Linked DNA regions of Drosophila melanogaster. Changing the gene in region 2 together with the main gene of any one other region gives a genetic interaction. Each region holds a gene or a part of one and is shown on either strand. Other genes may lie near its edges.

Region 1 (5,411 bases), on a different chromosome or scaffold from region 2:
ACAAAACGCTGGCAAAGGCGATTGGGCCATTATAGAGCTGCAAGGCGACCTGGAGGTGCGGAGCAACCAGGATATGCACGGCCAGTTTATTGGCGATCTCTACTACAATAAATATGGCCAACCTGTGAGTTGTAATTGTAAAGTTATAATTTAACCAGCTCTTAAACAATCTGATTTTACTTATATCATAAGATTCTCATCATTGGACATCACATTCTTCAGGGACGTGAACAAAAGTTGGATAAACCATTTGCGGTGCTGGAAAAGTCCAAGACCAATGAGGGAGAACGACTCCTAGAAACGAGCATGGCCTCGCAGGATGTCAGTATGCTGAACGCCACCACGGGAGCGGAGCGCACAGTGCTGGATCATACGATCGCCCAGGAGCACAAGAGTCGCCAAAGAACGGAGTACACTGTGCGCGCCGTTTGCACCAAAAAATTAATCTTCAAATCGCGACCCAAACCAATTATAGCCAATGTAGCTAAATCCGTTTAGGTGTGTTTTCAAAAATATAGTTTTATTCAATTTGTATGATACGATTTTCATAAGTAGACTCGTTATCAAACAATTTCCATTTCACGCTCTATGCCCACGAACTTCAGCTGCTCCGTGGGTCCGTATCTGTAGTCAAAGAATAGCTCTTCGCCGGGCTGAATGGCCCGCTTGGCAAAGATGCCGATGCGATGATCGCCGGTGACCATCATAACCTTGGCATAGCAATTGGGATTAATGGAATGATTGGCAAACCGAATCTTGTTGCCCTTCCGAGTGGCATCCACAACAAAATCGTTGTTCAGATTGAAAAGAAATGAGCACATGTACTTGTCGTAAACCTTGCCACGGCGATCGGCTTCATCTTGGGATATGATCTCGCCACAATATTCCGAAATGAACTCATTCTTTTGCGCACCCTCCTTAAGAAAGATGCCCCAGCCGGCGATGTCAGACGGAGCCATGAGCAGGTGCTTGTCTGCAATTGAAGATTAAATTAGTTGACAGTGGCGAAGACCAATATGGATATATAAGAAGGTTTCTTACGCAGTCCTCGCTGCACGCACACGTTCTTGCACGTGATCTTGGTCAGCTTAAACTGATCCGCTCCGCAGGCCTGGCACAGATCGGGATCACACTCGCGCACTGCCAGATAGCAAGGACACTGCTTCGTATTGCACTGAGCCTTGCAGCGACAGCCGGGGAAACGATTCTGGCAATCGCTGCTGCAGTTGCAGAACTTTTCGCAGAAGTTTTGTGTCTGAATGCAGGAGCAGTTCATGTCGCATGGATGTCCGGGATGGTCGCAGGGCGTGTAGTTGTACACGTGATTCGAGGATGAGTCCTTCTTTAGCTGAATCTTACGACAGTGCAGCGACCACAGACGTTGCTTCTTCTTCTTCTTGCGCGGAGGTGTGAAGTCCTGTCGCAAATCCTCGAAGCTAAACTCAGCATCCTCCTTCTGGGCAAACTCGTACACCTGACGACAGGTCTTGGTCAGCATGTTGTGCGCAATCGCGCAGTAGTTCTTTAAATACACTTTATGCAAGACCCGATAAAGTGCTTGGTCAGCGCCTGTCCAAACGCACTGCGTACTGGTGATGTTCATCATGCCAGCTGGTGAGAAAAAGTGAAATATTTAACACATGGTCCAACCAATCTGCTAACTTAAAACTGACCCATAATGGAGTTGATCTCAGCCACAGCGGCGCTATTTACAGTCAGGCCATTATCCTTGCTATTCTCATGATTAAAGTCCTTGTTGCTAAACTGACTGTTGCTGTCATTACTGTCCTCGGAGCTGGCCTCATTGCAGGAATCAATGGGAGGTGTCTTGCTATCGGCCGCCAGCTTTTCCTTCATGCCATCCTGCAGCATATAACAGAATTAAAATACCATTTAAATTTATAAAGTGCATCCAACTTACGATCAACATGTAGCAGGAGTTGCTGCAAGGTTCGGCGAAAGGCTTCAGTTCCGGATAGCGACGCTTCTGGAGATTGGGACCCGCATGTCCTTGCAAGCCTGTGAACACAGAGCAGCGGGATTAGAATAACTCAATCGGGCGAAAATCACTTGATGTCTATGAAACGCTTTTGGATTAGCATGAGGGTAATCGGTTACATTTGAAGAGATAGAGAGAAATGGTCCAGCCAAAGCCACACGAAAATGAGGTGAGCAACACCGAGGGGTCAATTTAGACACATGACAAACATAGCCAAATTATCCACCGATATGGGTTATTATAAAAATTATATTCATAGACAGCGAGATGAGGATGCGGAGGCGTTGACGGGCAAACGGCATGAGAGTGTGTGCGTGTGGTTATCGAAACAACAACTACAACAACGACTCACCCTGCACATGGTGACCTAAATTGCAATTAATTCAATACATTTTGGAATTTCGTTTTTTTTTTTGGGGGTTTAAGAAATGGTACAGATTTGTGTTTTTTGGTAAGATAATATTGTTTCCAAACAAGAAAAGAAAAGCAAAAACAAAACGTAAAGTCATTAGGTAACCCAGCTGGCAGCAGTTCCCATCGTTTAACTTACGGTGCAGGAAGCAGTCGTATTTGAAGCAACGACGACAGAAGAGCGTGTGAAAGGAGTGCATAGTCCTTTCCCGGGAAACGCTCTCGGCCTTGATGCCGTCAATGTTGGGTGTGCACTCCTGTGGGCGCTCCGGATCCTGGTGCTCCGTAAGCTCAATGTACCTAGCAAAAAGAAAAAGCCGTAAGAAGGGATATTTACTAACCTGGTTATCAAATTACATACTTTTCTTTGAGCTCTTGCGCGGTGCCCTTGTCTGGAAAGTTAGCGCTGATGGCCTGAAAAATAATGGGCGCAGGGAAGGGCAGCTTGTCCTTGACTTCTTCCACATCGGGCTTAACATCCGCATCTTCAGTCTCCAGCGGTTCTTCAGTTTCCTTCTTCTCAACTTCAGTCAGATCCCCTTTGCTGTCGGTTTTCTCAAGCTTCATGGGAGATTCACCATCTGCGTCAACATCAACTACCCCATCATCTTCGCCCTGTTTTGATTTCGCCAACGTCTCTGTTTTAATGGCAGTCGCTGTACCCGGAGCGGCTTCCTCCAGTTCCTTGCTGTAGGAGCGCATAAGGGCGTGCACCAGTTCTACGAAGATGGCATCGTCCATGAACGAGGGATCCTTGTCGCCGTGAACCTTGCCATCGTAGTTTTTGATCAGTTCCTCTATGAACTTGCCATCCTTATCGAGGACCTCGTCGCCCATATAGGGTATATTGTGCAGCACCGTCTCATCCTCCACCATGAAGTTCTGCTGTGTTGGTGCCCACGTGTACATGGTGGGTATGGGAGTGACCGCGTTGATCACGCAAATGGGCACCTTTTGCGGACCGCTGGGAATGCCATTGTAGCTAGTCACCTCCGCCCGCTTCACACAGTCCACATGCGGCGGATCGTAGGGTTTAGCCTGCCAAACCTTCGACTCGCAGTACAGATCCTGTACATTGTGGTTGTGCTCGTCCCTGGAGGATATGTGTACATAGATTTTCGATTCCCAGACATCCACCATCTCTCCCGCGCTTACCAGTTTCTTATCCACGCCTCCTTGATCTCGTCGGCACGTTTGTAGCGCTTCTGCTGCCTGATTTTGATGTACTCCGACTTGACACGCCTCTTCCACTCGGGCGGCACTTTAGTGCTATTCATAATGCCTTCGAGGGACTTTATATTTGTTGATTTTACGTATAAAAAACACTGATTTTGCTACAAATATTATCCGCCTTTTTTTGCAACAGCTGCCGCAGTGTGACCGTTGTACTGCAGGAAGAATAACTTAGACACATGGGTGTATGTAGAAGACCATTTAGTGGGTACTTAATTTGTCCGGTAAGCCATTAATTATATTTATATTATAATAAAAACTATGATATTTTTGTATTAAAATAATATAAATATAATATAAATAATACATAAATATAATACTCACTTTAAATTAGCTATACAACCATTTTGTACTGAAAGTAGGAAATAAACAAAGAGCCCCTCTTTGGTACGACCCTGCTTTGTGTAGTGTTGAGAAACGCAGCCCGTTATCAGTGCTCTCAAACGTGGAATGTCATCAAAAACATAAAAAGAGGAAAAGAAAGCTATGAGAACCTCATCAAATAATAATAATAAATACAATAATATTTAAACTGGACAAATTTAATCGCATTAAGACGGCCACGAGCTTTGAGGAAATAGCTGCAATGGAACCGTCAGCCTGCGAAGGTATGTAACTCGCCGGCAAAAGAGAGCCGGAAAACGCGCAAGCCACTGACTATGTTTACCAACCATAACTGGGTTTGTTTTCCTCGCTCCTCTGCAGATCTCAAGGCCTTCGAGCGGCGCCTCACCGAAGTGGTTTCATCGTACCGTCCCTCGACGTTCCGCTGGCGCAGTAAGTTGCATCCGTATAATGAGAACACCAGGGAGCATTACAATCCGTAATAACCATAGAGCTTCTTGCAGTTGTCCTTTCCGCCATGTCCATGTGCACCGCCATCAGCGCCTGGTACTGGCTACGCGATCCGCGCACCACCGTTGTACCGCTAACGGAGTCCCTCTGGATTCATCCCGTCTTCACAGTCGCCACCCTAACATTGGGTAAGAATCGGTGTAGCCACTACTGTACTCCGTACATAGGTCACTTTTTGTAGTCAACAGCGGCGGTCATTGAACCTCGGATATTCTACCTAGTATGGAGAATAATTTTAATACCAAGCCATACCATGCTATTTAAATCCATATAATCATATCGTAGAGCAAGTCGATACTATATATCAGGTTATCTCAGGCTACTCGGTAAAAAGAAAGGATCAAAATCAAGAATTTCAAATTTTTAGGTATTTCTACTGTTATTTTGAGTAGAATACACTCCTTATATCTATCACATCTATGCAAACTACATAAGTACATTCTCCAAATTTTAGCAACATTAGGTTGCCTTTAATCTTGTCAAAGCTCTTCGCTTTATCAAATTCGATTTGTATATATCAATATTGATAGTCCAACTGATTAAGAATTTTCAGCTAACAAACACTTCCATTTAATCTAATCTAATTTTTTTGGTTTGAAACTGACTTACTGATTTTGTAAACCTTATCATTTCTCTCCGCAGTCGTCCTGTTCATCCTGGGCATACAGAAACTAGTCATAGCTCCGCAAATAATTACATCGAGAACGCGAATGGTACTGGGAGACTTTAATATGAGCTGTGACGACACGGGGAAGCTGATACTCAAGCCGCGGCAAAGTAACAACAACAGTACATGAGCACCGGCCAGCTTCCAGGACGTTTATTTAGTTAATTGCTAGTTCCCTTACCCTTTTCTTTTTTCCTACATGTTGATTCGGACACCCTCGCTTTGTAAGCGTATTTTTAAAGTACC
Region 2 (6,342 bases):
AATGTTTTTCCTAATGAAATGACTTGTATGTTGAATAAGTTATGGATTAATATGTGGTCTGGCCATTTCTTCGACTAACCGATGCGTCTAAACTGGTCCCACAAATTCCTGCAATGGTTCCGTCGTTCTGCAATTGGACTAAAGTCTTTTCTTTCTTGAATCTCGAGTGGATTGCGACCGCATGGTCGTGGAGTAGAGTCGGACTTGTTTGGATGTAGGGCAGCCTAAAGCGGACAGATGAGTCAGTGCCGGTCCCCCGGCAGCGGATGTCGTTCATTTCAGTTGAAAACTCTTTTTTGGCTTAATTAATTCGACGATTGGCTTAATGGCGCGCTGAATCCTCAGCGGGTTTTCCTGCCCATGCATAAATTACTCAGCTATTTGCTTTCCGGAACCCAGCAACTCCCATGGAACCGCGCCAATCGCCTCGACATGCAATCAGTAATGAAAGCACACACTTTCCCGAGGGACCTTGGGGGCGAGCAAAAACAATTTCAGCTGATAACATCTCGCGTTTCCTGGCCACTCGAAACCATTAGATTTTGCTGCGTTTTCACCTCGCAACAAAGACCAAAATTAGAGCCGTAAGCACTGAAGGCAAAGGCAGTTCGGTTATATCACTGTAACGAATGAACTTCGAGAATGCTGGTCTTTGAAAGGTAAGTACAGTGAGGCCGCTGGTGGCGTGAACAAGAACGTATTTAAACTTCTAATCGAAAACAAAGGCGTAAAAGCGAAATAACCGACGTCGTGGAACACATATATGTACATAGAGTGGAAATCAACATCTCTCGATATCGTAGTGTGTTGCCAGATTTAGTCCTTCAACAGCTGGCTCAAATACATTAAATAGTATATAAGTATCTAAGTATAAGATATTAATAGTGAAATTTCAAGAGACGTCCTCATGTCTAGCCATAAATCGGAGCCCTGTAAGTTTTCGAAATTCGTCTCAGCTCAACGGTTTGCCATTAGCGAGGGACCCCTGTGCTGTGCGCCGAGGTCACCCCAACCCGCTGCCCGGTCCTCCATCAATGACAATAATCAATCACGGCTCACCGCAGAGGAGGAGGCCATGAGGCGGAGCAGAATGAGGAAACAAAGGGAGCGAAGATGAAAATCGAATCAAGGCGAACAGAAAGAGGAGTTAGTCGGTCGGTGGTGGTGGGAAGTGTGAAAAGTTGGCCACAAAAGCCGACGGCAAGGGGAGTTTTCCTTGCCGCGGCCAAATCACTTGAACTATGCTTTTCTTGCTCGCTACGTTAATTGAAAACACAATTTACTTAATTTTTGCATATCTCGCTTCAAATTACGTTGCATAATTTTGAATAATTTTTATTCGTATTTTTTGTGTTGCTTTTTTCTGCTTTACTCTTCTCTCTCCATCGTTTGGTAATAATTTTCCTTTCATATTTTCGTATTCTTTCGGTAAATGGTTGTTGTAACATTTTGCTGATTTGTAATTAAATATGCGTATGTGTAACTTTTAGCAATTGTTTTGTTTAATGTTGCTGCCGTTGTTGTTGTTGTTGCAGTTCTTGTTTTTGCCGTTGTTGCAGTTGTTATTGTTTATGTGGTTGGCTTACACAGAGCGGTTGCTGTTGTTTCTTGTTGGTTGTTTAATTTAAATTAAATTAATTACTAAAATTATTTTATAACAAATATCACTACAATAGTTTGCATTTTTTTTTTTTGTTGTTGTTTGTTTTTGTATCGTTTATCAATTACTACCATTACTAAAAGAAAAAAAGATCGCTCATTTCCTCTTTTCTCACCGTCGGACAACAATTTCTCATAGCAGCTAGACAGAATTTTGTTTCATCTCTTAATATTTTTAGAGTTAATTACTTTTGATTCTAAAAGCTTTGATGGGTGTGTATATATAGTACTGTTTTAGGGGAGGATCTATTAATTATTCCTTGAGGCGGCTATTTCATCGACGCGTACTTGGTAGGCGCCTGTCTCATGTGTTGCAAGTTGCTGTTGCTGCTGCTGATGTTGCCGTTGTCCTGGTTGCTGCTGGTGCTGCATCACACGTTGTAGCAGGAGATCTGCGGCAGGTGCTGGAATGTGGGCGTGGCCGCCACCGCCGTGGCCGCCGAACTGAACGGCACAAACGAGGTCTGGCCGGCGGCAGCGGCGGCGGCTGCCAAGTTGAGCGAGGCGGCCGCCGCGTACGGGTGCATCCGCTGGGACCGCAAGTACTGGCGGTACTTTCCGCTCAACTTGTCGGTGGCCGTGTTCACTGCTCCCGTCGCCCCCGCACCACTCACCGCCCCGCCTCCGCCCACCGACGCCGACCCGCCCGAGGCCGCTCCGGCGGTGGGCGTGGCCGAGTAGAGGCGCATGGGATTGGTGTCAGGGCCGGCCTGATAATTGCTAGGAACTGTGGCCATCGGCGAGCGGTCCATCAGCATGGACGTCGCGTCCCACGGCGGCGGAGGCAGGCAGTGTTGCTGTTGCTGCTGTGGCTGCTGCTGCTGCACCTGCGACTGTTGCAGCTTCCCCGAGGCGACCGCCGTCTGTCCGTAGCTGCCGGAGATCATGGCGTCCCGCTTCCCGCCCCCTGCTCCGCCGCCACTACCCTTGGCCGCGTAGTGGCTGTGGGGATGCAGCATGTGGTGCGGCGTGAGGGCGGTGCGGGCGGCCAGCGCAGCCAGTTGATCCCACTGGCCGGCGGCTGCGGCGGCTATCGAGGCCTGGGCCGCAGCTGCCGCCGCTGAGTTGGCTGCATGGCTCTGGCTCTGGCTCTGACTTTGGCTTTGGCGTTGGCTTTGGTTGCTGCTGGCACGTTGCTGCTGCTGCTGCTGCTGTTGCTGCTGCTGGTGCTGGCGGACCAGACTAGACTGTTGCTGGGGATAGTGGGCCTGCTGCGACATCTGCGACATCTGCTGGTGCTGTTGCCGCAGTTGCTGCTGTTGCTGTTGGTAGCGTTGCTGCTGTTGTTGCTGCTGCTGGGCGCTCGTAGCCGCCCGGGCTCCACGCCGCGCGGCACTACTGCTGGGCGCCGTGGCCACCGCCGCACCGCTTCCGCCTCCGCCCAGGGCCGCTCCGCTGCTCAGCGAGCTGCTGCTCACCGCCCGCGCGGTCGCATGCATGTTGTTCACGAACGGGCTGCGCCGCTGCGACTCCATCTTGCGGAAGTAGCACGGGTGGATCATCAGCAGGGGCTCCACTCTCTGGCCCGCCGGCGGCTTGGGCTGGTTGGGCAGCTCGTACTCCACGCTGCAGTCCACGTGCAGCGGGATGCTGTAGTCCTTCTGCGGCGATGGAGCGGGGGCTGCGTTGCTGTTGCTGCTGGCAGTCTGCTGCTGCTGCTGCTGCTGTTGCTGCTGTTGTTGCTGTTGTTGTTGTTGTCTGCTGTTGGCAACCGCGGCGGCGACCTGCGTTTGGGTCGCCGCCGCATGGCTGTGGCGCGAGTTGCTGCTGCTGCTGGTGTTGGCGGGCTGGTGGTGATGGCGGTGGTGTTGCTGCTGCTGCTGCTGTTGCAGCAACTGCTGCTGGTGGGCAGCCACGGCGGCGTGGTACATGTGTTGCTGCTGCTGCTGGTGATGATGCTGCTGCTGCGTCTGGCTGTGCTGCTGCTGTTGCTGCTGCTGTTGCTGCTGCAGGGCGGACAGGGCCGACATGCCGTGCGACAGGGACGACATGTCGTAGTTGGCATAACAGGCGGCCATCGTCATTGCTGTATTCAGGGGATCTTTTAGCTTTTGCTCTCGTTTCGGTAACACAGAATTCGCTTTTGGTTTGCTTATTTACTTAGATTTAGATTTTTATCATTTTGCGGATGTTTTTCGCTTTCTTCACTTTCGAAAAAATTCACTTTTGTGGTTTTATTGGCACTGGTAATCCAAAAAGAGCGGCTAACGGTAAATTTGCCGCTGCAGGTAATCCGTGAGTTGGTTGTTGCTTTTGTTTTTGTGTTTTGAGATAGGAGGAACCTTAATCCATATGTGTGTTTGCTTTGCTTTGGAATTCGCTTTAACCCGTATAATATTAGCTGCTGTTCGCGTGTTTAACTTTGTTTCGTTACGTTTATTGTATATTTATTAGCGTTTTAGTCAGTCTTTGTTTGGTTTTACATAAATGCAGCGAACAGTTGGAGCTGCTGGGTGAGTGTGAGTGCGAGTGGGTGCGCGTGTCGGGGTGAGTGAACAATCCACGTGTGTTTTCAGTCTTTTTGCCCGTTTTTGCTGGCTAACTTAACCGTTGCTTTTTAGCTACTCCTTGTCTTCTTTCCATTCGGTTATGCTCTGTTCTGTTCTTTTCTCGCGGGGGTGAGTTCGCGGAGTAGGTAACTTGTTAGTTCTATGCGCAATAGAACTGCCGAACGAACGTCTCATCCACTCCGAAGAAAAACGCGATCTGAATTGTAGTTTCTGCTTTGTAGTTTTGCTGCCGCCGCTTGCTTCTCTGCCGCGGTCTCTGCCGACGTTTGTAAGCGCAGCGAGTATGCTGAATACGGAGCGCGCACGAAAAACAGCTGTTGGCTAGACGCCTACGCCTGTGTGTAGGCTTTGCTTTTATTGTTTTTGTTGATTGTCTGCCGATTTACTTATTTTTCGTATCACAATTGGCTGCGTTGCGTTTGTTTTTGGGTTTTAACTGCGTGTTCACCTTCGACGCGACGTTGAATCTTCTTAACTCTCTTCTTCGTTAATTACGTGCCACAGACCACGCTTTATCTCCTCCTATGTCCGCACGAATCGAGCTCTTTGAAGCGACTGACTCGAAACGTCGTCTTCGCTCCATTCTGCCGACGCCTACCTGCTGTTCGGCACAGCTGATGTTCCGTGACGTATTCAGCACACACACAGTCGCAGGAGACGAGCGCAGAGTTATTGTTATTGTTGCTTTCCTATATAAATTGCATTCAATGGCCGCTCTCTCTCCCTCTCTGTGACCGCTCTCTCTGTGCCTGCGTGTGTGTGTGTGGTATACATTCAGCCATGTTACTACACGGCGGCCATCTTTACAACTGCTTTGGTCGAGACAGAGAGAGACAAAGAGGCGAGAAAAGAGCGAGAGAGCGCACATTATTTTGTAATACGATGTCTTTAACCGTTTTAGTGCTTTAATTTTTTACGGCAAACGCATTTTTGGGAGCAGCTTTATGGGGTCGTAAAAGCAGATGGGTTCTAAAGGGGTTAACGGCGAGTTGAGAGCTAATTGAGCCGCACTAAAAACGGGGAGTTGAATGAATCTATCAGCATCACCTGGTTAAAATGGGAATGGGTTATTTTTACTTATGTATTTCTGAGCACTTTGGTACACCCCTAAAACTTAAAACCCATATAATATCAACATAAGCAGTGTGATCTCCACACAACTGCCTAAAAATCCTCTGCGACGCAACTTCGAACACACCTACGTAGTTCCTTAATATAAGAATACAACAAATACCCCAAGAACCTCTCCGGTTTTGGAATACGAAAGCTAAACTGCGCACTGAGAGACTTTCTGCAGACCAAAAAAGGAAAACAAATTGCAAAAACTCAAACAGACAGCGATATTAAACATTTCTGTACTAAAAAATGGGCAATTTAAGTCAGGAAAGGGCACTGTCTCGCTCGCACACACACAGCGAGAGAGCGAGAGAGAGTGAGAAAACGGCTGGGAATTACACACATTGTAATAAATAAGGAAGGTCGTTGCCATAGCAGCCGCCGTTGGCGTCGTTTTTTTCCCCCCATTTTGTTGTTGCTGCAAGAGAGTGGCTCGCTCTGTGGGGCTCATTCAGCAACTGCTGATAACAAATCAGCTGTTTTGTTATTTGGGGAGGTGTGTCCGCGTGCGAGTGTGTTGGTGAGTCTGGCTGTCTCTCTTGGTACATATTTGTTTTTTTTTTTCTCAAAGCATATGTTTGTTGGAATCGCTGTTGCAGCTGTTGTTGTTGTGGGGCTGAAAGTTGTTGCTGTCAAGTTGCCATTGCATTTCAGTGTTGTTGCTATTCGATGTGCAAGTAAAATGAAAACCTATGTGGCGGATTTGCATTGAAGCATGTCTTTTAATCCAAAAAGTAAAACTAATGCTTCTTATTGTCTACTAAAAACTAATAATTCGTATTATGTGCTAATTATTCTAAGACTCTTAAGAAAGAACATGATTGGTGCATGTATACAAGTTAATGGATACTATTGTTTGATAGCCTTAATGATTTCCTGCTTTTCTACTGTTGTTGCCATGGTTTTGTTAATGAATTGTCTTCATTGCATCTGGGATTGTGGATGGTTTTTGGAGTCTGGTTTGGGTTAATATCGACACTATAGTGTTGTAGCTTTATGCCGACTTTTATGGTGCTGTCGCTGCTGCTTTTAAGCCTTTTCTTTATTGGTGCTTCCG
Region 3 (4,676 bases), about 27 Mb from region 2:
TATCTGCTAAAAAGGCGCCACCCTAACCACAAGTGGAAGCCAAATAGATGTCAGCTGGATTTCGGGTTATTTAGCCTTAAACTAATCATTTTGGTTCAATGGCTTTAGGGGAATATATAAACGGGAATTGTAAGTTAATCTCTTTATTCCAAAAGCGACTTACTTAGTAGACGTGACCCAAATAGTTGGACATTGCCCACCTAAGGGTTAATGATGAATTCTCCCCTTTTCACACCCGTTCCCATCTCTATTCATTCCACAAAGAAGGTAGGCAGAGAATAGAAGAGACCTTTTTACATGTAAACAAGTGTGGAGAGGAATAAATAAAACAACGGTACAGCAACACCCACACACCCACACCAACCCAACTGTTTCATTAGTATGCGTGCGTGGGGTCGTTTTATGCGTTGTATTTATATTATTTTGGAGGCTATGGAAAATATGAAAATCAACAAATTAAGCAATTCTGCGCGACTTTGCGACTGCGCAACAAATTGAAATCAACAAATATGACCCAGAAAACAAAGTAAATGCGCTGAAGGTGAAATCAGGAGAAACGGGGTACAAAACGGAATGTAATAGCAGTTGTTACTTGTGTTTTCCAGAAACAAGTTGCTTCCTAAAATGAGCAAAAGTGTTTTTGAAACGAAAACAAGTAGTTTTATCCGTCGCACATATTTTATTTTTGGCTGACGCAATTCCAAGCCAGAGCACGCACACTCCCAAACCAATCAAGTTGCTGTGCTGGTGTGAGTGTGTGTATGAGGTAAAAATCCGAATGGGAACAACATACACACATACAAAGTCTTTGTTTGCAGCTCGCGTGTGTGTACGATGGCAAGGGAACTTTGGAAGCGGAACACACAAATTGTGGGGAGAACAACAAAGGAAAAGGGGAATATGAAGTAAAACAATTGACGCAAATTGGAAATAAAACAGATATGCAAATGGGGGAAGGCAATAGGAATGGGTTTTCTAGGCGAATAAGGCGGTGCCAAGGAAACAAAGGCGTACATTAGTCTCATTACATATGTATGTTGTACAGCTTGCATAAAAAGCACAGCCCCTCAAACACACATACCACTGCAAGCAGCATAGTTCCTCGCCCACCCCTCGTTCGACCCTCTCGCTCACTCTGTAAGCAACGACCTACGAATAGCGGACCCCAAATCCACTCTCTCGCTTACACACACAAACACCAGACAAACAGCTGTGAAACAAATGGAAGCGAAACAAACACGTAAATGAACGAATTTTGTATGTATGCCTAATATAATTTCTTTTTTCCTACAAACAAAATCATCTGATAGATGAAGAAAAAAACCTTGATTCTCTTTTTGCATTTTATCGACTTTTCCACTCTTAAATAAATTTAGCATTTTCTTACGTTTTTACAGCCATTTTGTTGTTTTGTGTTGCGCAGGAATGTTGAGATGAACTTTGTTTAGTTGTGAATTTTTGCTTCTATTGCACTCGAAAATAAGTGAATAAATTGGCTGGCAGCTTTACGCTTATTCAATTGCGTCAGATAGTTAGCTATAAAACCTTGTCGTTGGCCATTTAAGCTAGTTGTTAACTAATTTGTACTGCGTTTGTATCACAATTGGAACTCTGTTTATTAGGCTGGCATTTTATCCTCAATTTTTCCCGTCTGCGGATCGATTTTTCCCACACACACTGGGCTGAAGGTGCTTGGGACTTTTCTCCATCAGCTGTGCATTTTCCTCCTGCTGATTTTTTTTAGTTCTGCTTTAGCAAAGCTTTGTACGTTTGCACTTGGTCCTTTTCAATTTCTATTTTCTATTCCTAAGCAAACAAACACATTCAAACACTCGCGCTCGCAAAAACGGTACTTCTCCGCTTTGTTGTTTTTTTACGAATGAAGAATATTGTGAGCGACCAGTGTTACCAGTAGGCCTACAAGTTCCACAGATTTGGTGCGAACTGAAATTTGTACTATAAAATACCCTAAGCCAGCGGAAGCGATAGTCCCTCACTATCGATGTGTATGTTATTCGATTCTCTCTGTTAACTAACATTTCGCTGTAATGTTATCGAACCCTAATAAGCCCGCAATAATTCTTTTTTGATGTCGAACAATTTTGAACACCGAACTCAAATAAGCCCGCAATAATTCTTTTTGGTGTCGAACAATTTTCAACACCGTAAGCCTGATAGGGATTAAATAATAACTTTATGCTTCTGAATGCGGGATGTAGACAATTTTATGACAAGTGATTTAATTAGTTAGGGAATTAAAAAATATGAGGGCAACAAATCCTCGAAGTTAAATTGAGTTCCCAAATTACTATTACAAATGGAAGCTTCTGTTTTGGCAGGGAATCGCAAACTTCCCACACATAATTTCACAATCAATGTCATTGCCAAAATATAAACATATTTACATATGTACGCCGCAAATCGAAATTCCGTTCAGATAAGCGTTGAAATTACGCATTTTGATAAGATATTTTGAAGATGGAAACTACGCAGCAAACTGTTTTACAAAAGCCGGAGAAATGCATTTCCGGCGAAAAGGAAATTCGTTACTGTTGCCAAGTGAACATTTTCAAGAGAAGAGGGGAAGGGGGTGGTCTATTTCAGGCCCCACTACACACACATGCATATTTCTAGAAACAACCTGTCACACAAACGACTCATCAACGGCAATTTTTTATGAATGAATTTTAGCAATTAAAGCAATGGAAAGAAACTTTTCAATGGGAATGCGAAAACATCAATTAACTTGTTGCACAAGATGTTCAGCCTTCGATTTTCCCCAATCTCAACGATAAGAAACTTTCCTCAATTTCGTCACACACACACACACATGCGAATGGGAAAAAACGCGTGGCGATTGATTTTCGGCCTTTCAAAAAGTTCGTTTTACGCACTGAACAGCCCGCGAAATGAGTGTAAGTCGGTGTAACAAATCTCATGGCACTTACCCGGATGCCTCTGCGTTTTGATCAGTATCTGCTTTTCTTGCTTCTTATTTCCAAAAAATATAAACTTATTCTCAAATCAAATCTTCGAGAACTGACCAAACTAGGTGTTTGTAAAAATCCAAGGTAGGTATTTCGCGCTTTGCCCATCTGGCAACGCCCGCCCATGTTGTATCGCGAAACGGTCACTCTGCACAGCCGCAACAAAATAAAAAAGGAAAAAAAGGCAAATTGGCTGGAAAACTGGATTTCGTCGGGCGGAAAATTGTACTTTCGAGTTTCCCAAGCAGCCAATTAAGTGCAAACTATGAAATTCCACGAAAAACAGTAAAAGCCAGTCTCTACCAAGGATTTGAGCAGGAAACTTCTCGCTGGGCGTGTGTGTGTGCAGTGCGTGTGCCAGTGTGCGTAAAGAAGGAGGTGGAGAAGACGAAGGAGAGGAGAGTTTTCGCAGGGAAATTACGCCAACTTTGTGGGAGTTCAAGTCGAGTTAGTTCAGCGCGCGCGTGTGTGTGTGTATGCGTGTGTGCAACACCCCCCAAGCCCACTCACACAAAGCCATCCAGCCGCCGTTTGTTTTGTGCTCACATTCGCGTGCCGCCTTTGTTTGGCTTTTCTTTGGCCAGTGATTCTACGCCTTGTTTTTGCCCGCCGCCGGCTTCGATTACGCCTGCTCCAGCCACCGTACGATCCCCACTCCGCTCTCCGCCGCTCACGATCCCCATTCCGGATCCGGATCCAGCAACAACGCCGCCGTGGATGCCCATGCTCGCACTCTGGGCTCGCTCGCCCAGGACTTTGGCATGGGCGGCGGCTCGGGGGCGTGTCCGCCCGCCCACATGTACGGCGCCGTAGCCCCGCAGGACAGTAAGTGAAGTTCTCTAGAGGAGCAGCAGTCATAGTGAACTCCTTTTCGAGTTGTTATTCTAAAATCGATTTGTGGCCAAGTATTGTGGACAATCCTAAATCTTACCGTAGCATTATTATTTACTGTTGATAAACTTGAAACTCTTTGAAATTTAAAATGAAATTGGATTGAGCTGTACAGTATCCGTTGATCTACTAAAAAAACTCAGAGCTAATTACCCCCACCATCTGCAGTAATTGTCCGGGACATGGTGCAAATGCCGCCGCCGCCCTCGAACGCCCCCACATCGGCGGACGCCTGTCTGAGCATCGTCCACTCGCTGATGTGCCATCGGCAGGGCGGCGAAAGCGAGGGATTTGCCAAGCGAGCCATCGAGTCGCTGGTCAAAAAGCTCAAGGAGAAGCGCGACGAACTGGACTCCTTGATCACGGCCATCACCACGAACGGAGCCCATCCCAGCAAGTGCGTGACCATACAGCGCACCCTCGATGGTCGCTTGCAGGTAGGTTGAGTCTCTCAGACTTTCTGCATCGAATTTGATAATGTGTATAAGCAATGAACTTACCACTTTACCATTCTCTATCGAAGGTTGCTGGACGCAAGGGTTTTCCGCACGTCATATACGCCCGGATTTGGCGCTGGCCTGACCTGCACAAGAACGAGCTGAAGCACGTCAAGTACTGCGCCTTCGCCTTCGATCTCAAGTGCGACTCGGTGTGCGTGAATCCCTACCACTACGAGCGCGTCGTCTCTCCGGGCATCGATCTGTCCGGCCTGAGTCTGCAGTCGGGCCCCAGTCGCCTGGTGAAGGACGAATACTCAGCGGGTCCGCTGGTGGGCAGCATGGACATCGATGGCAACGA
Region 4 (7,633 bases), on a different chromosome or scaffold from region 2:
AATTAAAGAACGGTATTATTATTATGATAAGCATACAAAAAATAAAATGCATATGTTCACCACTTACATGGTGGCCACCTCCAGATCTTCCTCATCTTGCGGCCCACTCCTGGATGGGGGCTTCTCCACCAGCGGCGTAGACGTGGCCGAAGGCTGTTCGCCAGCAGCAGCAACTTCCGCTCCCGTTCCACTTCCTCCACTTACACTTGCACTTCCCCCTGTTGCCGCTGTCCCGCCACTATTGCCGGTCAGGCGGCGTATCCGCTTCTTGGGTATATTGCGAATGGCGCTGGCCACCGGTTGGCCCAGACAGAGCACCTGGGCACTGGCTATGCGCAGCGTATGCAGCTGTTCGTCATCGGTCATCAAGCGCATCTGATAGCTTTTGAAATAGCTCGATGGCTGACGTATCATCGGATTGCTGGACTTTGGTCCGTTGTCCGCATATGTGAAATTATAGGTAAAACGCTCCTGGCTGCTGCTCAGGCACATGTCCTGCTCGAAGTCGCTGTCATCGGGCTCCGAATCGCATTTCGATGGCGGTGGATCCTGTTTAGGTTCTTGTATTGTTTGCTGAATTTGCGGCTTTTGCTTTGGAGATTTTTGGGTGGATTCCGCCTCCGCTACAATGGGCAGTGCCGGAGCATCGGTTGTGGAGGAGGGTACCCTTGCCTCGACACGTTTCTTGGCCGGTTTCTTGGTATTTGCCTTGATTTGGGTCTTCGTCTTTGCTCCTTCAGTGGATTTGGAGAGATCTTCCGGAGCAGGAGCTAGTTTTGCAAAGACAATATATTAGTTTCAATACCCATTCGATTGGATCTTAACTACTTACTTTTATTTTCGACTAGGCGCGAGGATCGTCGCATACAGAGATTGGCTGGCTCCCCGTTCTGTACCTTTTTCGGGCGTCCACGTTTTCCAGGGGCAGGCTGTGCCGCAATTTCAACCGCTGCTCGATTTACCTTTGGTTTGATTACAATCGGTAATGATTCCTGTTTTTTCGCAGATAGATTGAGGGCCATGAGCAGAGCGGGATCCAATTTGCCGGCTGGCGGATCTGCTGGCGCATCTGTGGCGGCACCGACTGGCGGACCAGTAGCCTCTGTGGACTTAACATTCGGATTTGGTTCTATTTGCTTTTTAGCTGCTTTTGTTTTCAGTGGTTCGATGTGCTTTCGATTTTTTGGCGATTTTTGACTGCTTGGATTGGCCAGTTTGGCATTTTCACGCATTGCAGTGAGCTTCTTGTTGGCAGTCTTTCTCCCTTGACCTTTGATCGGTTGGGGTTGCTCCTTAAACTTGGCCACTACACGTTGGCGTTTTTCATTCAGCTGCTGGCGTTGGTGTTCCTGACGGCTTGTAGAGGCCGTTGGAAGAGCGACGGATGAAGGATCGTCCGCCTCTGGCGGAGGCGGTGGAGGCGGCGGAGGAGCAGCTGGCGGTGTTAGAGGAAGCGGCGGAGGCGGAACAGGAGCAGCCACCGGTTTAGGAGGTGTAGGTTTTGTTTGCTGTTCTCCACTGGTATCCGTCTCCTGGGCCTGCTCTTTGCTTGGTGTCAGCCAATTCCGGATAGGATAGCGGACCTCCCCGTCCTGGCTAACTAACTGACCTGGCTGACTGTCGATAGCAAGCATGGGCAGAACTGCATCCTCAGAACCGGCTGCCTTCAGCCACTCTTCGTCTTCCGTGCTGCTAATGTTCGATAAGTTATCTATGTTTAGTAGCATCTCCTTTTTCTTGCTGCACTTTTCGTCGGCATTCTCGCCATTTGCCTCTTCCCCTCTGCTTTCCCCCTTTCCGCTGTGAGAACTTGACGAGGATGAGGAACTCGATGATGAACTACTGGAGGAGCTTGAGCTCGAACTGGATGAGGACGATGAACTGGTTGCCGAGGAGCTAGAATTACTAGATCCTTCAATAATTGCCTCGGGCAGGCCAGGCAAAAGTTTATAGTGCGGAAGCTGCTGCTGATCGGAGGGAAATGAGCCAGCTGTAGCGGACTCCGCACTGTCCACCGCCTCACTGCCAAAGGATCGAACGCGTCGAAGGACGGTGGGCTCCAAGGACAGGACAACGGGTTGCTTCACAGCATCTGGTGTCTTTTCTAAAACCGTTTCATTCTTTTCACCATCGTTTTCAGTTTCCTTCAGATGTTCATCCATTGGCTTCTCTGGTCTTTTCGGTGTTTTCTTATTGTCCTCAGCATGTTTGTCCTCCGGATGAAGGCTTTTCTTTGAACACTCCATTTCTATTAGCTCTTGATTCTTCTGTTGCGAAAGCTCATCCTCTGCCTCAACCTTTTTCTTCTTGGGCGTTGACCGAACCTTGGGTTGTTTCTTATCCTGCGGATCACCCCACTGTTGTATTGCGCACTGCGCATTCGCATCGGTGTGTTCCGCTTCATCCGGACGATAATAGGAACTGCCTGAAGAGTACTCAGTCTTGGCAGCACTGCCTATCGGAGTACCGGGCATCTGTCCAAAAGGTGTCAAGCGAAATCCAGGTGTGATGGCACTCAACTGGGGCGTATCCATAATACTTTTGGTATCCGAACCAAAGAGAAAGCTGCTACTGGGCAACTTGCCATATGGCGTGTCCAGAGGTGGAATGGCCATTCCTGGCGTGGGTGGGATGATAGCGGCTACACCAACACCAGCTTCCTTTGATGTGGTGTCATCTTCTACGGCTCCGCTTGCTCCTGCTCCAATGGGAGATGCTTTAAACGGAGTGTCCAGAAGCATGGCCATGTTGGGTCGCGACAGTTCTGCCGCTAAGGCCTTCGCTTGCTCCTGATCCTTTGCATATATGCATCCTTGTTCACTTTTCTTCTTCTGATCCTTTTCCTCGATCTCCGCTTGGGTTTCGTCTATGGTTTCTTCTATGGTTTCGTCTATGATTTCTTCTTTTGCCTCAAACACCTTCTTTTTCTTCAGGAGCTTTGGTTTCTGAGGAGTGATAATCTTGATGTTGATCTTCTCAGTGGAATCCCCAACACTGCGCTGCGGTTTCTTTGCCAGATTCATGGGCTCCGCCTTCGCTTTGACCATTGGAGCCTTTCGTGCTCTCGACGAAGCTGAAGTGGGTGTATCTTTCTTCTTTGGACGCCTCGAGCGGCCGGAGGCCTTTACCTCCTCGCGCTTGGAGTTAATCTCACGCAGCCGATTTTCAAGGTCAGAATTGGAGCCATGCAACTGGCGCTGCCAGGCGGCCATATCGTTATCTACAACTGCGTCTCCTCTGGCGGCGGAGCCTACATCTGGCTTTCCTTCAATCTTCTGCTGCTCCTGGAGATTCTCTTTGCTGGCCTCGGCGCTGTCATCGTGAGCGGTCGACGATGCGCTGCAGGCAGAGTTATTTTTGGGCATAATTTTCTTTTGATCCTTATCCGTCTTGGTTTCCGATTCCGCCTGGGAGATGATTCGCTTGCAGGCCTTGACCGCTGCTTGTCGCTTCTGTTTTCTTTTGGGCGTGGCCACCAACGGAGGAACCGGAGCTGCTGACGGAGCGGCAGCTGGAGGATGGGCCCTGATCACCGTCTGATTGCTGCACTCCTCCATGGCGAAGAGTGGTGGCACTCCTCCAAGGCCCTCGTTTGAGCTCAGGTCGCAGGCGGCCTGGATGATCTCCACATGGTTGATAATTGGCTTCTCTTGGGCTTTGGCCAGCAAACCAGGTCGCCTAGTGGACAGCGGCGTATTGGAATGCAGGACGCCACCAGGAGGAACCTTAGGGGAAAAAGTTAATGTTCGTACATGCGAAGTTCTCTTTCGGGGAGTGGATAAGCTACGAAAGGCCTTTACGTTAATTATTCCCGACGTCGAGGGTGTCACTCTCTCCATGACTTGTCTAGATGAATCCAGGGATGCGGGTGGAAACTTTCGCTGCTCCTCCTCTAGTTGATCTATCGGTTGCTCTTTTGCCGCCGTTCCCTGGCCCGCCTTGTTGTCCACTTTGGCTGCATCTTTTATCAACTGGACTGGAGGCTCCACGCTTGGGGGAGGTGGTTGTTTCTGGGCGCTGCTAATGATAATGGAATTGGGGGGCAGCTGATTGGCAGACAGAGTAATCGGCTCCGGCAGCGATATCTCAATGTGCGAGTCATCAATGTTGGCAAAGGCATCCGGCCCAAGTTGCTGGGCTACCCACTCGTTGTTCACCAGGAATGGAAGATGCGACAGCAGTCCACCGTTCGAGAGGTACATGGGAAACGTCAGCTGCCCGGTGGTGGCGTCCACACAAACCTGACCAGCAGCTGTCGCCTCCACCTCGCTGAGCATTGACGCTGGATCGGCAAAATTTATATTGAGGCCTTCGCTTGTAAAGCTGATATTGGACGTATCCAAACCAGCAACCATTTTTTGGACACTCTCGTTGGAGTTCAGTACGATAAGCTTGGAGATGGAGAAATTGGGATCTGCATTGGTTCCTGCGGTGGCTGCAACGGCGGTGCGAATAATAAGCGGTGTTTGCGGCGGCACGGGATCCACGGCCTGTTCTGTCGGCAGCACATCTCCATCAGCAGCGGGAACAATAGCAGCCCCAGCAGCATCAGAGGCAGGCGACACACCAGGGTCCTCCTCATTTGCCAATGGTTCATCCCCGATCACCACCTCCTGTATGATGCGATCGAACGAGGGATCCTTCTCGGTGGCCTCCAGTATGTTCTTCACTAGACCATCCAACATGGCGTCACAGCTTACCGACGGATTGTTAACAGTCACCGTCTGCAGCGCTACGTTAATATTCTTTACCAGCGTCTCCTGGAAGTCCTGATTCTTAATTATCGCGCAGGCCAGTTCCTGAAATCAATGTAAATCGAAAGAGTGTTTTTTGTTTAGAATACATAATAGATGCACTATTGGTTAATTAAGCAGATATGCATTAAGCATGTCTATGGACTTACAGGCATGCTTTGCGGCGTGAGCAGAAGTGGATTGGACTCGGTATGACCTTGGCGCGGCGTGGAATTGTTGCGCGGACCAGGACCATTCGCCGGAAGTAAGTCATCCTCCTCCAAGTCCTCGGTGGCCGTTGTGCTCTCGCCATCCTCTTCGTCCAGTTCCGCCTCGCAGTCATCCTGGCTGCCTAGGAAACTCTGCCTGACCTTGTCGCGGTTAACGCTGCAGTAGAAGTGTGGCGGCAGCAGACGCGGTCGCTTGCTAAACGAAGGCGAAGAAATGCTGTTCACGGGAGAATGGGTGCGCCTGGGGAAAAGGGGTAAGAGAGCAATGAGAATTCCGATGTGCTTGTGTCAAGGAAAAATCTATAATTACAAGCGCCTTCTCTTGCGATGCGACTGTGATATGGTGGGCTCGCCTGGGGTGCTGCTTTCATTGGTACAGCTACTCCTCTCGCCGGCGGCTATCAGTTCGCTGACCCGTTCGGACAGCTTCATCTGCTGCAGCTGCATACGCATATCCAGCGGCAGCTTCTGCACGGCACCGGCCACTGAAAAGAGAGATTTTCGGTCAGCCGCAAAAAAAAAGAAACGCAAGGAGCGTGCTAATTTACCCAAGCTTGTGATCTTGACATGCTCGCAGATTATCTCCTCCAGACCCCCGTGAAGGAAGTTGTGCGTCTGCAGGCCCTGTTTAAGGGCCAGGAACTCGTGGCGCAGGTGAGGCGATGTGCGACACAGAGTGTGTGCGGCCCTTTTTAGATTCTGGTTGACTAGGTAGCCTACAAAATGGAAGAGCATAAATATTGCGAGCTAGAAAAGCGTCCAGGGAAAACCTACCCAGGACCAAGCGAGCCACGTCCGAATGCAGGACAATCGACTCCATGGCTGGACTTTCCGACTCAGCTAAGCGTCACCATCCACTCGCTTTTCGCCTTGCCTTTCTTTTTTTTTTCGCTTGCAAGACTTTAGGTTTATCGAACGCACTTGTAATGCCTTATTATTGACTGTTGCAGGTTTAATCACTCAATAGTTAGTCGGAATTGAATCAGCGCTTTAATTCGAGAGAGAATAAACCATTTTCTCGCCTATTCGCCGACTATTTTCGTTTTGTTGTTGCCGATTCTAGCGGCGCACTGTACAACACACATAGGTTAGCATAGCATCTGTGTTTTTTTTGCCGCCCGCCAAAACAACGCAGTAGGGTTGCCACAGCGCCGAACTATCGATATAGTCCCGTTGTTTGCGCTTGGCTGCCAAGCCTTATTAGGAGCGTGGGAAATAATGGTAATAATTAAAGCAAAGAAATACGTCTCTTTCGCTTAAAACAAATTATAGCAGTTTTTATTGCTTTGATGGTCTTGCTTCAATTCGTTTTTATGTGTACGTTACAGTACTTAGAATCCGATATTCGTTAAACTATCGATATGGGAATGCTGCAAATACCTGGCATCCCAGCAATTCATAACTAGACGGCGTTGCCAAATAGATCAGAACGCAAAAACCAAGTGCAATATTTTATTCGAGTGACTTAGATTACTGGTTAACTGGCACTCAATGGCTGCCAAGAGTATCGAGAAGGAGAAGGGCGAGGGTCAGGAGCCCGCGACATCAGCGGAGAAACCCGATCCAGCCGCACCCACTGAACCAGCTGAGGAAAATTCCAAAGAACCGGCGCCGGAAGACGCATCGCCGGATAAAAAGGATGGTGGACGCAAAAGGAAGAGGCATTTGTTCAATTCGATTCGCGGTCAAATGGAATTCTACTTCGGTGACGCCAACTTGAGCAAGGATCGCTTCCTTCGGCGCTACGTAGAGCAGGATCCATGTGAGTAGCTAAGGTTGGCTCACCAGCCAACATAACACTGATCATGTTATTCTTTTACAGATGTACCATTGGAAATCTTTCTCACTTTCAATAAGATAAAGACGCTCACCCAGGATGTGCAGCAGATAGCCAAGGCACTAAGCAACTCCCAGCTTCTGGAGCTGGATGAGACCGAACTAAAGGTCAAGCGACGTACCAAGCTACCAGATCAGCGCGATGTCAACGACAAAACCTTGTATGTAGAGGCCCTGCCTGCAAATGCCACTCACGATTGGCTGAAGGAGGTATTCAGCCGCTACGGACCGGTGGCCTACGTGTCCCTGCCCCACTATCCGGGCACTAAGAAGATCAAGGAATTTGCCTTTATCGAGTTCGAAAAGAGCGGGTCCTTGGAGAAAGCTGTGAAGGCTTTTGCCCAGATACAGGGCGTTTTGTCCGTAGAAACCGATCCCAGTGATCTGGCCAGTGTGCGCTCCTTTCAGCAGCAGCAGCAGATACAACAGAAAGCGGAGCAGCCGCAGTCAGAGGCTGAACAGGTTGAGTTGCCAAAGCGAAATCTAAAAAGGGAGGCCACCGACAAGGATCGCGAGGAGATACACGAGGTGAAACGGGTTAAGTTGGAGGAGGGCCAGCCTAGCGAGACCTCTACAGCTGGGGAAACAGCGAGTGAAACGGATGCAGAGGGCACAGCCGAAGCCTCCGAGCAGGAGGACAAAACAGAGGCAACCGATGGCGATGAAGCTGCCAAAAAGCGCCGTCGCAAGCGCAAGAAGAAGGCGATCGTGGACAAGCCAAACATTGAGCCCAGTGCCCTGGAGCTCAAGGTGCTACCCAAGACTAGTTGGAGCAGTATGCGCAATAAGTACTTGAATCTACAGCGTCGCATCGTCAGTGAGGCAAAGAGCAAG

What was found.
Region 1: of corto (region 2) and E(z), changing one enhances a phenotype caused by changing the other (phenotypic enhancement), as found in Drosophila melanogaster (one study listed by BioGRID).
Region 3: of corto (region 2) and CycG, changing one enhances a phenotype caused by changing the other (phenotypic enhancement), as found in Drosophila melanogaster (one study listed by BioGRID).
Region 4: of corto (region 2) and mxc, changing one enhances a phenotype caused by changing the other (phenotypic enhancement), as found in Drosophila melanogaster (one study listed by BioGRID).

The regions. Positions count from the first base shown.
Region 1 is NT_037436.4:10,634,075-10,639,485, forward strand, and holds E(z) (enhancer of zeste), read right to left. Parts: upstream 3,806-5,411; 5' UTR 3,688-3,805; coding exon 3,566-3,687; intron 3,504-3,565; coding exon 2,772-3,503; intron 2,711-2,771; coding exon 2,550-2,710; intron 2,367-2,549; coding exon 2,352-2,366; intron 2,020-2,351; coding exon 1,922-2,019; intron 1,864-1,921; coding exon 1,674-1,863; intron 1,612-1,673; coding exon 1,042-1,611; intron 974-1,041; coding exon 564-973; 3' UTR 501-563; downstream 1-500. Other genes in the region: CG34001 (uncharacterized protein), read left to right, coding at 1-124, 193-498; Cnep1r2 (CTD nuclear envelope phosphatase 1 regulatory subunit 2), read left to right, coding at 4,230-4,251, 4,349-4,420, 4,480-4,626, 5,141-5,295. UniProt on the Drosophila melanogaster protein: Polycomb group (PcG) protein. Catalytic subunit of the Esc/E(z) complex, which methylates 'Lys-9' and 'Lys-27' of histone H3, leading to transcriptional repression of the affected target gene.
Region 2 is NT_033777.3:5,082,343-5,088,684, forward strand, and holds the start of corto (corto), read right to left. Parts: upstream 4,731-6,342; 5' UTR 3,684-4,730; coding exon 2,031-3,683; 3' UTR 1-2,030. UniProt on the Drosophila melanogaster protein: Essential protein required for proper condensation of mitotic chromosomes and progression through mitosis. Binds to specific polytene chromosome sites, many of which are shared with the posterior sex combs (Psc) protein.
Region 3 is NT_033777.3:31,607,933-31,612,608, forward strand, and holds the start of CycG (cyclin G), read right to left. Parts: upstream 3,047-4,676; 5' UTR 2,949-3,046; intron 1,884-2,948; exon of another isoform or gene 1,388-1,883; intron 1-1,387. Other genes in the region: Med (medea), read left to right, coding at 3,749-3,812, 4,047-4,315, 4,402-4,676. UniProt on the Drosophila melanogaster protein: Cyclin with roles in multiple processes including transcription, meiotic recombination repair, cell cycle regulation, and promotion of normal growth and metabolism.
Region 4 is NC_004354.4:9,237,422-9,245,054, forward strand, and holds the start of mxc (multi sex combs), read right to left. Parts: upstream 6,047-7,633; 5' UTR 5,784-6,046; coding exon 5,738-5,783; intron 5,680-5,737; coding exon 5,512-5,679; intron 5,449-5,511; coding exon 5,274-5,448; intron 5,205-5,273; coding exon 4,904-5,204; intron 4,800-4,903; coding exon 833-4,799; intron 771-832; coding exon 68-770; intron 1-67. Other genes in the region: Larp7 (La related protein 7), read left to right, coding at 6,455-6,725, 6,786-7,633.